Linked DNA regions of Schizosaccharomyces pombe. The protein of the gene in region 1 interacts with the protein of each later gene in a biochemical or structural test. Each region holds a gene or a part of one and is shown on either strand. Other genes may lie near its edges.

Evidence for each region. Proteins that work in one complex are often made in the same cells at the same time.
Region 2: of the proteins of cds1 (region 1) and cdc25, one has a biochemical effect on the other in vitro, tested with the Schizosaccharomyces pombe proteins (3 studies listed by BioGRID).
Region 3: of the proteins of cds1 (region 1) and rad60, one has a biochemical effect on the other in vitro, tested with the Schizosaccharomyces pombe proteins (2 studies listed by BioGRID, with this or other methods).

What each region holds. Positions count from the first base shown.
Region 1 is NC_003421.2:737,729-742,888, forward strand, and holds cds1 (replication checkpoint kinase cds1), read right to left. Parts: upstream 3,611-5,160; 5' UTR 3,503-3,610; coding exon 3,245-3,502; exon of another isoform or gene 3,154-3,244; coding exon 3,105-3,153; exon of another isoform or gene 3,038-3,104; coding exon 3,006-3,037; exon of another isoform or gene 2,961-3,005; coding exon 2,876-2,960; exon of another isoform or gene 2,808-2,875; coding exon 2,548-2,807; intron 2,483-2,547; coding exon 2,273-2,482; intron 2,235-2,272; coding exon 2,026-2,234; exon of another isoform or gene 1,954-2,025; coding exon 1,674-1,953; 3' UTR 1,633-1,673; downstream 1-1,632. Other genes in the region: protein Thc1, read right to left, coding at 1-142; THO complex subunit Tho3, read right to left, coding at 288-431, 498-576, 622-866, 909-977, 1,030-1,121, 1,165-1,438, 1,501-1,527; cab5 (dephospho-CoA kinase), read left to right, coding at 4,017-4,053, 4,102-4,775. UniProt on the Schizosaccharomyces pombe protein: Has a role in the DNA replication-monitoring S/G2 checkpoint system. It is responsible for blocking mitosis in the S phase.
Region 2 is NC_003424.3:478,728-484,078, forward strand, and holds cdc25 (protein tyrosine phosphatase (M phase inducer) Cdc25), read right to left. Parts: upstream 3,647-5,351; 5' UTR 3,559-3,646; exon of another isoform or gene 3,459-3,558; 5' UTR 2,814-3,458; coding exon 1,023-2,813; 3' UTR 501-1,022; downstream 1-500. Other genes in the region: hxk1 (hexokinase 1), read right to left, coding at 4,720-5,351.
Region 3 is NC_003423.3:2,404,830-2,408,773, reverse strand, and holds rad60 (DNA repair protein, SUMO-related Rad60), read right to left. Parts: upstream 1,955-3,944; 5' UTR 1,943-1,954; coding exon 1,840-1,942; exon of another isoform or gene 1,790-1,839; coding exon 672-1,789; 3' UTR 501-671; downstream 1-500. Other genes in the region: nucleoporin Mex67, read left to right, coding at 1-470; rpl35A02 (60S ribosomal protein eL33), read left to right, coding at 2,813-3,021, 3,153-3,270; toc1 (Tor complex Tor2-interacting protein 1), read right to left, coding at 3,859-3,944. UniProt on the Schizosaccharomyces pombe protein: Required for repair of DNA double strand breaks which occur during replication, or induced by UV or gamma radiation, via recombination between sister chromatids. This has a subsequent role in the maintenance of chromosome structure.

The DNA of each region.
Region 1 (5,160 bases):
CAGGTTGTTTAAAATAACTTCTTAAAACGCGTTCTGTAAGATAAAGTCCTTGTGCACTTAAAATGTACGTAGAATGACTTTCAACAACTTCTACTGGACGTTCAATATGCTTAGATAAAGAAACAGTATTTTTCTCTTCCATTCTTCAAAACTTTTGGTACCAAATAAGCTAAAACTACAACTTCAATGAATATTGAAGGTATCCATGCTAAGAGTATAGGGTAAATACTAAGTAGCCGTTTTTTTATTGTTGATCAGCGTGAACAAGATTGCCAATTTTCAATCATTTATAGCCCAAATATCTTAAGACCACTAGAATTAGGCTCCGATACAGCATATGCTAAAATATGTTTTGTTGGATGCCAAGCTACCTTGTTCAGAGGTCCATTAGTTGGAATTTTCCAAATTTGATCACCAGTTTTCGTATCAGCCTTCCAAGTTAGTTTATTAAAAAGAATAAAAATAAGAAACGGTTTCAAACATCCTGAAATACTTACGATATCCACATAGCGGTCCTCTGATCCACTAGCTAAATAGCGACTGTCATAACTAAAGCTTAATGTACGGATGGGATAACTTTTTAGAAGTTAGCGACCAAAAAATTTAAAAGAAACTACATACTCCATTCTAGTAATCGACCGTTCACAAATCAGTTCTTGTGGATCCCATAAACTAGTAATTGCATCTGCACCACCAATGGCAAGGTGCCTGTTATCCGGACTGAATTCAATACAGAAACAATTTGAGTTATGCGCCTTTATATCGTAAACTCTTTTTAGAGAAGGCCATTCCATAATTTGCACCGTGCCAAGTCCTGTAGTCATGAAAAACAAATCTTCACTGAATGACCAACAGCATTCATTTGTCTATTAATCGTAAGCAAAGTTATTATTGGTTTAAAAACAAACCTCACAAGGTTGTTGGAATGTCTCCATTATTCTTCTTTCCCGAGCATCAATAAAAGACAACATATCATCCTAGCATTCAATTAGCAATCGTGCGTTATAAAAACTTAAAATATTCTCGTACCCGACTACTAGCACAGCAGTAATTTCCACTTGGACTCCAGGTTGCATAAATATTCTCATAGTTGCTTTCTATTTCAGCGATAGGTTTGGCGCCTGAATAAATAGTTAACAAACAGTCAAAGACTTCATTGCATACTTCTAAAGTCCCAGAAACGGATCATTTTCCCAGCATACACAGCCATTAACCGATCAGAATGCGTAGGATCCCATACTAGTTGTTCGACAAGACCATATCCTCTGTTCCCTAATTCAGTAGTAAATTTAAAATCCAAACGATCTGAATTCCAAACAAGTACTGATCCTGAAGATGAAGAACTCGCAAGTCTCGAGCCGGAAAGATTCCAGCCTAGGGAACGTATAGGTCCCTGTTGCCCTTGTAAATCTCGAGTTTTCAATTCGGGAAACTTTGGCTAAAAAGAAAAAAGAAAGTTTTAGTATTTTATGCTCTAGTTTTTATAAATCATTAACATACAAGCGATTCTGTAACTGAAGCACACATGGCAAAGATCGCGTCGAGACGTCCAAAGGGATAGTAGTACGTGGACAGAGTGGTTAGTGTAAACTTACTGTCTATTTACAATATTATAAATTTGACGGTCTAAGTATAAAAATTAATTATCATTTAGAATACTAAATATTAATAATCTAACTCGAAGAATTGAGCTGTTCGGTGGCCTCATGTTCAGACGATGATGGTGGAGTACGATGTTCGTGTGTGCTCACAGTGTAAAACCAAGGATGCTGGAGAGCTTCACTTTCAGATATTCTTTTCTCTGGATTAATTTCAAGCATCCTGTTGATTAAATCGATTCCCTCTTCTGAAATTTCGTTTTCTAATAAAGGCTCTATCGGATATGCACCTTTTGATATCAACTCAATACATTTTGCTTGTGACGAAGATGCAAAAGGAATAGACGCAGTAAGCCTGTGAATTAGTAATTGGAAAAAATTAAGGCATGAAGGTTCATTGCTAATTGATTAAAGCCGACAAACTTACATCACATATAAAACACATCCCAAACTCCATATATCAACTTTATCATCATAACCTCCGTCCAAGTTGACGTTTTTTGACTTCAAAACTTCCGGTGCTAGATAACCCATTGTCCCGCAAAATGTTTCTAAAAAGGTTCCCGTCCCATGAATAACTTTAGCCAAGCCAAAATCAGATATTTTAAGATGGAAATCATTTGTTATAAGAATGTTCTACAAGTTAGACTTTCTTATCAATAAACAAGATATACCTCGGGTTTTATGTCTCTATGTGTCACACCCTGCTTGTGCAAATGTAAAAGCGTTTCTAAAAGTTGTTTGAGAAGAGGTTTACAGTCTTGTTCGTCGATGGAGCCATTAGCAATTAAAAAATCCATAAGATCCCCACCCTCAACATATTCCATAACAATAAATAACTCGTCATCATTTTCAAAAATTTCATGGCATTGTACAACTCCTGGCTAAAAGATAAGTGTTAGCTAGGAGTTTTTCGTATAAAAAAAGGTGAACATAAAATGATACTCACATGGTGCAAAGATTTTAATATATCAATTTCTCGTTGAAACATTTCAGTAGCTCGCTTTTCCGAACTTGTCAAAAGGATTTTTCGTTTGTTGATAATTTTAATAGCATACCACTTGCCACTATTCACTTCTACCGCTAGCTTGACAACTGCAAATGTACCACTTCCAAGTGTACGAATAATTTCGTAATGACTGTTCTCGGATTTAATCATGTTTTTCTGGGAATCTCGTGAATGTTTAACTGGTACCTGGCACAAAAAAGCTATAAGACTGTAAGCAAACTTGAAGTGAATTCTACGTCAACAATCTCCTTCAGTGTAAAGGACGTACAAATTTCATCTTTCGGCACACCTAGGCCAATTCGAATTTCATCTCCGTTTGACAAGATAGTTCTACTATTCTTGGCAAGCCGTTCCTAAATGACGTCAGTAAATTGTAAACGAATTAAGCTCTCGCTTACAAAATTCAGAAATGTTCCATTAGAAGAGTGGTCTGAAATTGTTAGAAAAGGTGGAAGAGGCAGAAGACTTTAAAAGATTTTTTAATCCTTTAGACTTACCGTGTAAAAAAACGACATTCTCAGATTCATCGGAATCATTTCTATGCCCCTGGGTCATTTCGTTAGATAATTATGTCTTAAAGAGATTGAAGTTCAATTAAAACTAAACGAGTTCAGCTGGCCACTATTATTTTATATACCTGATAGATTTCAAAATGAAAGTTGCTAACTCTAGGTCCGTTTAAAACCACTTCACAAGATTTATGACGTCCAAATCTCCAAAACCCATTGTGCACATCTGTAGTAAGAGGAATCACTTCTGTCTTACCATCAAGCATGCGAGTCATAACCAATTTCATAAATACATTTTCGTTGTTAACCACCTGTTTGGCTATGTTCTGACTAACATGTAGTGGTGCCTCTTGAGTAGCCTGCGTAGCTTCTTCTGGTTCTTCCATAGTATCTTAAAAACAGAAAAACTGGATGAATTCTTTAACCATGTATATCAGTAAACACAAATAAACGTGCAAATGAGTGATCAAGCTTTTAACAGAAGTAAAAAGACCAAAGAAGCAGTTATCATGTCAGACGAGGGCTTATGATTTACTGACTTCGCTTTAAACATCGTTATAAATTTTACGATATAAAATGTATCATAAGACAATAATAACGAACTGTTGCAATACCAGATTTTTCGCGAAGCACGAGTAATATAAACAATGTTTCATCCACCTACTTTACTGTACGTTATACGTAGTGAGGATTAAATGTTAATTGTTAAGTAGTAGTAATCCCTATTTATATTTTTTTGGTATACGTGAAGGTTGCCATCTGTCAACATTCCTTTGTATTTCAAACTTCGACTTCCGCGATTGAAGACTTTGTTCTACGGCATTAAATAGTTTTCTGATCTCCTTAATTGTTACCATTATTCAAAAATCTTCTATACCAAAGCAAGGAATAAGAAATATAATGCTGATTCTTGGTTTAACCGGCTCAATTGCCACGGGTAAGTTATCAAATAACAATTGGTTTAATAGTGGTTAACCTAGTTAAGGGAAATCTACAGTTTCTCGCGAGTTTCAAGAGAAATATCATATAAAAATTATCGATGCTGATGTGTTAGCTAGAAAGGTGGTAGAACCGAATACACCTTGCTTAATAAAAATTCAGAAAGAGTTCGGTAATGAAGTATTACATGAAGATGGCACTTTGAATCGAGCAAAGCTTGGCCAGGCAGTATTTCAAGACGCAGGAAAGAGGTCACTTTTGAATTCAATAATACATCCAGCAGTACGTTTGGAAATGCTCAAAGAACTGCTTCGATGTTACGTACGGGGTTACAGCATAGTTATTTTGGACGTTCCTTTGCTTTTTGAAGCTAAAATGCAATTTATTTGCTGGAAAACGATCTGCGTGTCTTGCGATAAAAGCATTCAAAAGCAACGTTTGCTGGCACGTAATCCTGAGCTTACTGCAGAGGATGCTGAAAACCGAGTACAAGCGCAGATGCCTCTTGAACTTAAGTGTCAGCTTGCGGACATTGTAATAGAAAATAATTCGGATCTTGAGACCTTATATGAAAACATACATAATGTCCTACCTTTAATCACACCTTCCTATTTTTTTACCTTACTATGTTTAATTCTACCGCCATTGCAAATAACTTTACAAGTTATTGCCTTTGTCTCGCAGAAGAAAAAGGTATCTGAATTCAGAAAACATATATAATCCTTTTTTCCATATTCTTTAATTTCCTCGTTTGTTATTTAAGCCAATAGTCTTAATGTTTTTGCTTATAATTAGATCATTTTCATAACTTATCTCAATATCTTGCCTCGAGCTTTCTATATAAATTCACGAGTATATGTTTTATCATGATTTGAAATGAGAAATTAAATCTTTTCATGCGCATACAAATAGCTGAACACTACAATAATGATTAATGTAGAGGTTCTCGCTTAGATTTCTGGGTTTTAAATAAGAAATCGATTGCGTTCCTTCTTTCATTGTCTGTATACTTGGGTATTGAACTTGTATTAATCAATCTTTGCTACAATGCGTGACTTATATTTATGTCAAAGAATAATTAAATTTTTTTTGTTAGTTTCGTTGG
Region 2 (5,351 bases), on another chromosome or scaffold:
TAAAAAGATTTGTTTGTTTGAACATTAAGTGCTCTGCAAACTTTCATACTTAAACAATTCGTTATTTATGATTACGAGGTTTATCCTACAATGTATTAAATACAATCGTTGGCGTTCAAAGCTGCACTTCATAGGGCGTTGATGTCATAATCAATAAAATTCATATAAGCGAATTTAAGGTTGACTTAGATGACGACATTCTGATTGTTGCAAATAAAAAGTAAACAAAACAAAATCTACAAATATCTTCAAATTTTAAAAAAGCACACATATGATTCACTTTCTCAACGGAACATGTTTAAATTTTTACCAAAAAAGTAGTATTGATTAAAAATTTTCGTAATTTTTTTTTTGGGAAGGTACTTAAGTGTGAATGTCCAACTTCCGCATTGTAACTATTTTATATCACATAAAACTTCGTAACTCTCTGGTGAACTTAACCTTCCATTGGAAAGGGTAAGCTACAATACTACCGCTTACAGAACATGCATAAAAGGAAGTGATTTAAAAATAAAAGTTTTATTCGTTTTCTACTTAAATATTTCCATCAGAGATGGTTAGGTAGAGTTACAAAAACGTAAGCAACTCAGTTCCTATCGCATTACTGCTTCAATCAAAGAATGCTAAATTCTTAGCATTCCTATCAACAGCAATTGCGAGAAGAGCAATTAGAATGGACTTCGGTACGTATGTTTACCCGTGATTGCTTAGAAATTATTAAGCTCAATTGATTATAAAATAATCAATTATTAAACCAAAATCCATGCGTAATAATAATAACCAAACTAGTCGTTCTAGATATTTAGTCGTAAAAGTGATGTACTTCGAAAAGTTTAGCCAGTTTAAATTTTTTGTTGTCGAGACCTTTTAAAAGGTATATTGCTTTCTTTCAATAATAATAATAAAAAATAGAAATAAAAGGTTTCATGATTCAAAGTTTATAGAAAAAACTTAGGTTTAGAAAGTTGAATATATAAGAGTATACTTCAGGCTAGGTAAAGTATTGAGTCAGCCTAAAATCATTAAAATCTTCTAAGTGTAGAGAGGGAATGCATGGCAGTAGGAGAATCATTAACGTCTGGGGAAGCTAACACACTTTGGCCAAAAGTATAACTTTTAGTACGCATAAAAGTAGCGTTTCGTTTGAAATTATTCATAGCCTTGGTGCAGGTCATAACATGCGAAGCATCGTTCATCGGAACGTAGTTAATTGGGTCACAACGGTTTTTGTGGTTTTCGTAAAACGACTTGTAACCACCATGAAGTATATAAACCTCGGGATAGTAAAGGAAAGGATAACGATGACTATTCATTCGTCTGTCGGTATTTCGAAAGTGCAATGCCAAATGAGGTGCTCTGTGCGCACTATGTTCACAATGAAAAACAAGTGCAACCCGATGAGTAAGAGGTTTACTTAAAAAGGCATCCACAATAGCTTGTTTCGTATTTAAATTCACAGCAGTGCTAATATGGCCCCCAAGGTATTCATATTCAAAACGGCAATCAATAATGATGCATTTGTCAAAAATATCCTTAAATTTACCATCTAATAGACCGAGCAATGTTTCTTGGGTAATTCGTTTCAATGAGTCCTCCTTCACGGCGAAGCAAGGAAGAGATAAATCCTCGACATGAGAAGAGATGAAGCGCTCACTTTCTTTGGTCGATTGTTTTGGCGTAACGCACACAAGATCTTGGCTTTTGAAAAGCCCTAGTCTTGTGGAATTGAGAAACATGCTTTGGGTACGACGAAGCACTGGTGTATCTTGCTCATCATATTCCGCATCTTCTTGCATAGCGAATGCCATCGGAGAAGGGGACCTAACTTTCAAGCTAGGAAAGGCAATATCTTTATTTATCTTGGGTAACATATCAATAGGTTTAATGGGTGAAGCTTGAAAAAGATCATCTAAAGAATTATCATTGCAAGCACCAAAATCACTGTTGGGACGTTGAATAGAGGCAGCGTCTTCAACAAGTTCAACAGAGCTTTCTGGTAAATCAGCAACCTTGCCCATCGTAAATGTATCCTCATGATCAGACATTAATTCGAAATCATCCGTATCATCAGTAAGACAACTTTCAAGTAAGCTGGTCGTGTTGCTCGACTGACTACAGGTACGGGATAAGGCATAAGTCAAATGGCGGGTAGCTTGTCCACCAGAAGTTCCCTTCTTTTTGTTAATGGAATATGAGGAACTCGATCTGGATCGCAAAAATGGGGGTGCGTTGCCTGATGATCGAGAACGTGAGACGTTAGGACGAAGGTAGGAATCAAAAGAAGAACTCGATAATGACGAACGAGTAGCTTCGCTTTTGGTGGTGTTTAATGCGATTGATGCTTTAGGCTTAAAGCTGTAAGCAATAGTGCTGGAAACACGTGGGGAATCTTGGGTAATGGAATACTTCGATGCAGGTTGCCGGAAGAAGTAGGACTCGGTTAAAGCGTCATTCGAGGGTGACTCCGGGAGAGGTGAAACAATAGTCTTGTTAGCGAGAGGGGTTTCTACAGTACAAGAAAGAGATCGAAAGAGCGTACGACGAGGAGTCGGTAAGGCAGGGCTTTCATCGATATGCATGTTCATTGACATATCAGCAGCTAAGGAAGATGCAGGTGAAGCTGTCGAACAAGTTTTTCCAAAAGGATCCACTAATGTTGAGGCAATGTGTTTGGATTTCGGGAAGAAAAAATCCAGCTCTTGATTTGCATTGCGATCCGACATCAACTTTAATTCACGGGCAGCAGGACGCAATACATTCCGTTTGCCAGATAGAGTGTTGGTAAAGGAAAGTGAAGAAAGCGGAGAATCCATTTTAGTTGAGGTTTAACTATTATTAAAAGCAGACAAAATGGTAAATTTAATTTAAACCAAGTACACTGCAAAAAGAACTAATGGGACGACACGACTGCAAAAGATTGAGTTTCAGAATGAGAAATCAATAGAGCAAGTAAGATAAATTATAAAGGAAAATCCTAGGGAAGAGTCAAAAGACCGGTTTAAGATATTAATGCCAAAGTGAGACAAAAAGAAAACTAAAAGAAAGACAGGATGAAAGCAATATAGCCAAATATTAAACAAAACCAACCTTTACAAAAGAAACCGGAAAGAAGTTTAAGTAAGTTTAGACTCCACACGACGGGAAGACCGAATAAAAGTATATAAAAAAAAAGAGATTAATGAGACAAAAATAGATGAGCACCAACGGTCACGACTATAATATAGAATATAAAAGATACTGTCGTTGAAAGAAAAAATGAAAGAAAAAAGAAAGTTAAAAGAAAGCAGTTGATTAATATGAAAACAACAGAATACCCAAAAGTTCAGACTCAAAGTTCGTTACAAGTAATAAACCCCCCACTTTACCATATAAAGGCTTCTTGAACAAATAACTTCAAGAATCCTATTAATTGCCTTAAAAAGCGTAAGCAATTGTATTATAGACGTTTCAAAAAATCACTGAACCAGCAGTTAGTACTTGAGAAGCATCAACAGGAATCCAACTTGAGGAGAGAAGGATGCCCGAAACTAACAGGCATCAAGTTCTTTTTAAACTTACAACTTTGGTATTCTTAAGAATAATATTTTCAATGTAATACACTTGATCTAAAGGAGAAGAGCTTGAAGCGCTGTAGATAGTTGAGGGTAGAGAGAAATCTCAGCTCTGCCTCCGAGAGGAAAAAAAAGCAAAGGTAACAACAACAATAAAACACCAACCAACAAATTCGAGTAACAGAAAACAATAATAAAAACAAATACATGATTAAAGCAAAGTTAAACTGTAAGCTGTAATACTTAGCCAACACCTCAGCCATGACAACTATTGTTGTATAGTTTAGTTGCGTAGATAATGCCGTTTCAAGCTACAATATGTCACCTCTTAATCTATTAATTATATAAAAGCAAATAATCATTTCATTAACAACATTGAACTAGATGAAAACACATAAATTTTTGCATCTTGTATGTTTGTTTACATGTCCATACATCTCAGCTATTCGATCCACCGCAGTTTGTCTGATTTGTTGCCCTAGCAACGCCAAATGTTGTGTATGTGTAAACAAATACATAAGAACAAACGTCAGGTAACCTGCTTGACAGCCATTAAATCCCCATAATCTCATACCCGCACTCCTGATATGTAACACGAGCAGCGAGATAAAATATGTTATCAGGTGTTAGCGAATAATCGTAACACGATGAATCTCTCTACTTCGGGACTCGGACTGTCATTCCGAATTGGAAAACGAGGGTGTAACTCATTGAAAGTCTCCCGATGTTATGTAGCTATGGGTTGATACCATTATTGTCGTAGTAGGCATATTTCGCAAGATAGTATAGCCAGTTGTCTTGTTAAACTCGGATATCTTCAACAAAGATACCGCTATTATTACACTTCAACATACAAAATATAACAAAACTCTAACCTTTATTTAAAGTATTCTAGCAATCAGAGGCAGATATCGTATCCACAGAAACACTAGAGCAAAAAAGAAAATATTTTATCAGGTGGAGCACCTTTTTGTAAAAACGCCCTGATACGTGATTAGTAGACAAAGAAAAGTGTAACCATAAAAATTGCTGGAACAAATTGTACGCAAAAAGATGGAGTATGAAACAAATAAAAAGTGCAGTATAAAACAGTTTGTCGAACACTTCGTGGAGTTCAGTGACACAAAATCAAATGAGTATCCGTAAAACCTAAAAACAATGAGTGGACTTAATTCTTAAGATGCTCGGCAAGAATATCAGAAGTGAGGGCCTTGCCTTTGGCTTCAAGAGCACTGACCAATGCAGCACCTACGCCACTACCGTCTTCGGCGGGGATGGTAACAACTTTGCTGCCAATTTCCTCACCAAGGATATCCTTAAATGCTTGAGCAAGACGATCCTTAAAACGAGGGTATAAGTTGTAGACACTACCATCAGTACCTACAATCATAGATGGCTTATTCATTTTACGAACAAGGGCGCATACACCACACGCAGAAAGACGGGCAGAACGAGTTCCAATCAATTCGCATGCACGACGAATGAATTGACGCTCTTCTTCGGTGGTCTTGAGACCATAGGTTTCCTCAAATAGGGTTTGAGTTTCATCAAGGTTCTCAAAGGGGTCAACTTCAATAGCGCTGAGCACAGAGGTATCCATGGCCAAGGGGTCACGAATCTTGGTAACGTCCTGACCGTTAAAGAGAGCTCCCTGTTCATAAAGGTCAAGAAGAATACGACGCAAGATATCACCCAAATAGCATCCAGCAATCATTTTCTCGTACGTTTGAAGACCGGGTCTGGGAGACTCTTCATCAATAGCAACATCGTATTTGGTACGAGGAAGGACAACATGCTGGT
Region 3 (3,944 bases), on another chromosome or scaffold:
TTTTTGATGGTTGGAACCTGGTTCTGCCTTCGGTTGGTGCAGCCATCAAAATTGTTGTCCATGGGCAATTTGAGGAACCACAAAACAAACGACTTCTACGAAGTTTTGATCGAACTTTGCTGATTTTGCCGGGAGGTTCCACAGGCATATTGATTATAAATGATTTATTAGTCATTCGTTCATTTGCTGGATCGCTCGGGTGGCTACCTGGTCAAAGCAGTGTACGAACAAGCAATAATGCCATGTCTGCGTCTGCTTCAAAGCCTAGTGATATTGTACAGCCAAGACCGGAACAAGCAATGTTAGACACTAGACAACAAATTGTATTAAAAATTAAGGCGGAGACAGGTTTAAATGATTACTATGCTCACATGTGTTGTGAGCAAAATAATTGGGATTACAACAGCGCTCTAGCATCTTTTTTGGAATTAAAGTCGCGAAATGTTATACCAGCCGAAGCATTTTCATGAACTTCTAGTGACGTGTATAGATAGATATGGTTAAAAAATTACAAACTGGGGAAATGGAAACTTTTATTTAATAATGGTACATATTGATGAAATGAATAAGTTAGATTTATACATAGTCGTTCGTGATCATTCTATAAAAGTATTATGGCGGTAATTAAATATAAGAAAGAACAATGGTAAAAGTAAGAGCCAAATATCCTTTTAATCCAAAACAACACTAACTTGATCTTCATCTTCAAGTTCCGTGCTTTGCACTTGATCGTTGGGATCTAACCATTCACCTTCAAATTCTAATCTAATGCGTTCATGAAAACTAATCTTTACTTCAGTACAATATCTCTTAATCAAATCTTTAACAGTGAAATCGACGGGTATTGAGAGACGAAGATCCTCACTCTTACTCGAACGCAAAAGCAACGTTATAAGTTTACACGTTTGAGCAGTTGAATCTTCAGTTACCGAGGATAACTTTTCCACTTCCAATTCTTTTATTCTTTTGAGTGATATAAAATCCGAGTGACAGTAGGCATGCACAACCAAACGGGTATCGACTTTAAGCATACCAGCGCCCTTTGGGGTTCCATAATCCCATAATCTTTGATTTTGAAATACAAGAACAACGTTATCTACTTTTTTTCTTTCAGAGTACGCTATTCTGACACGACGAAACTGTTGGTTCGACTTAACTTTGAAAAATAACGGTGCCTCCCAGTCCCGGGGAAGAGAGATATTGCTGTTTGGAATTCTCTGTCCAATTACGGCTAACTGGAGAACGACGGAAATAACTGGTTCATTTGTTGAGAATTCCGATTTGGAGTGATACAGCGTTGAGTGGTCACTTTTTGAATGCTTTAAAAGGGGCACATCAGCCGAAGTATTGTCATCGTCTTCTTCAATTTCTCTCTTATGCGTGTGAATTTGTACATCCATATCACTTGATGATTTTTCAAACTCCTGAACTTGCCGATCAATTTCCTCTAACCTACGAGCAAAGTCATCGTCCAGCAGTGATGAAGTCGTAGAAAGCGCAGCCTCACTATTAATGCTGTTGTTTCGCAAGTTAGCGGCCGCCCTAGTATTATAAACTGGTGAAACCGGTTGTGTTACACAGGAGATAGCACTTTTGGGTGAGTGCCTACCTTCATTCAAACACGCATTAGGAGTAGTGTCTGAAACGTCTTGGTTGCCTTCATCAGCATCTAAAATAGTGGATTGACGAGATAAAGGTTCGGCACTTTTGTTTTCATTATGAGTTATATTTTTCTGTGCATTTATGTGTTCTAATGCTTGTTTATTGGTATCAAGTTCACTTTCCTCTTCTAGAATGTTGTAAGCAAGCTGACACTTTGCAATCGGAATTAAAACTTACCAGAATCTGAGGAAGAGGCTATTAATTGCTTGGCATAGTTTAATGGAGGCTTTTTAATAGGCTTTGAGAAGAATGCTAAGTCATCTTCATCTAGGTTGTCCATTTGGCGAGTTTTAGCAATTACGGTGGTTCCACAAAGCTTCTTATGGATTTAACGAGAATTTGTAGCGACACACCTTAAACTAGGTAATTTTTAGCTTAGTTTTGTTTTCACTCAAGTTTATTACAAATCGATTTTGAAAGTTATATAATAATTTTATAATTCAATTGAAAAAGTTCAATGAACATTCCTCCAACTCATCTTCGAAATGAAGTTTGTTTACTTACGCAAAACCCGATCTTGTCCACTTAGCAAACAGATTTAAGTCTATAGAATTTCATTTTTTAGGTTAAGTAATTTGAAAACTCTTTGCTTCTTGTACTGAGACATTAGGTTTGATGAATTTCAATGACATTGGCTCACCTTACGACGGCTACATTGCGTCCGTCCATTACTGCCATTCATAATTTGTTCTTCATTCGCTAAATAAATTTTATTTAGTTCAGATAAAACCAAATTGTTGTACTATTAGAGATACAATGAATAGGTTTAATCAGCCGATATTCCTATATTCAGTAGTAGACTATTCAGGTACAAGATATAATACTAAACAATAATATGTAAACAAAATCGAATATTATCAAGTTAGTCCCCGTTACTTTATATTGATCATTAGAAAAACTTTACACTATACTGTATTGGTAAGTGAGAGATAATTTTAAAAAATTGAAGAGTATCTTTTTAAGATTATATAATGAATTAAGCTATATGATCGCAATCAATAAGATTATGAAGTACGTTACACTATGCTAGATTTATGAAAGTGTTTACTACCAACACAAGCTTAGGTTTTGCAAGCACAAGAAGGGCAGTCACAGCTTAAGCAAACGGTAAGGATCACCACACTAAGAGTTCCGCCTTTACCAAGTCAAAATGCCTGCTCAGGGACACAGATTGTACGTTAAAGCTAAACATCTCTCTTTTCAAAGAAGCAAACATGTTATCCACCCAGGAACTTCTTTGGTAAAGATTGAGGGATGTGATTCTAAGGAAGAAGCCCAATTTTACCTAGGCAAGCGTATTTGCTTCGTCTACAAAAGCAACAAGCCCGTTCGTGGATCCAAGATTCGTGTCATTTGGGGGTAAGTTTATTTTTGTAATTAAATTCTTGCGTTTCTTTGGAGAATATGAAGAAACGTTAATGCTATATTTTCACGGTCGTTTTTTGTTGGCTAAACGAATACATTCAAAACCTTTACTAATTACGTTTTAGAACTGTTAGTCGTCCTCATGGAAATTCTGGTGTTGTTCGTGCTCGTTTCACCCATAATCTTCCTCCCAAGACCTTTGGTGCCTCTCTCCGTGTCATGCTTTATCCCTCCAATGTTTAAATAAAATATTTTTATGTTCACAACAATTCTTCTGCTTCTTAGATTTATTTTATTTAGGGAATCCCATTTTATCGAAAGCCTCGTTTGTTATACAAAGTAATCAATGCTTTTGGTATTATTTACTCACTAGGAATTTGTAATTGGTACATTAAAACACAATTATTAATTTAAGTTTAATCAATATTGATGTTAAATAACAAAAGCTGTAAATTTGTATAGGTAACTTTTGAGAATCGTTTCACGAAGTATCATTTCAGTCGTCTGTTCTTAGGGTGTTGATGGGCAACACTGCATCAATTACTTAGGTATTGTAAATTCACTAGTTTGGCGTCTAACCTTTAGTACTGAATACTACCTTGTTTATGCAGGTAGTTCGATCGAATACTGTCGAGCATGTTTATAATCGGCTGTCGATCATACAAATCAAAAGCAAATCAATTATTAACCCCAACTATAATTATTTAAAAATAGTATAAAATAATAGCAAAATTATTATCAACGAAACAAAATCATCAAGCATTCTTTGTGAGAAAAAAAGGAGCGCAAGAAATAGTCCTAAATTGTAAAGATAAAACACATAGACGCTATTCAATTTAAACTCTTCCAACCTTGAGCCAAAAACGACTGTTTATAAGGTCTAAAAGCTTTTGAATTGTCAAGATCATCACTTAATA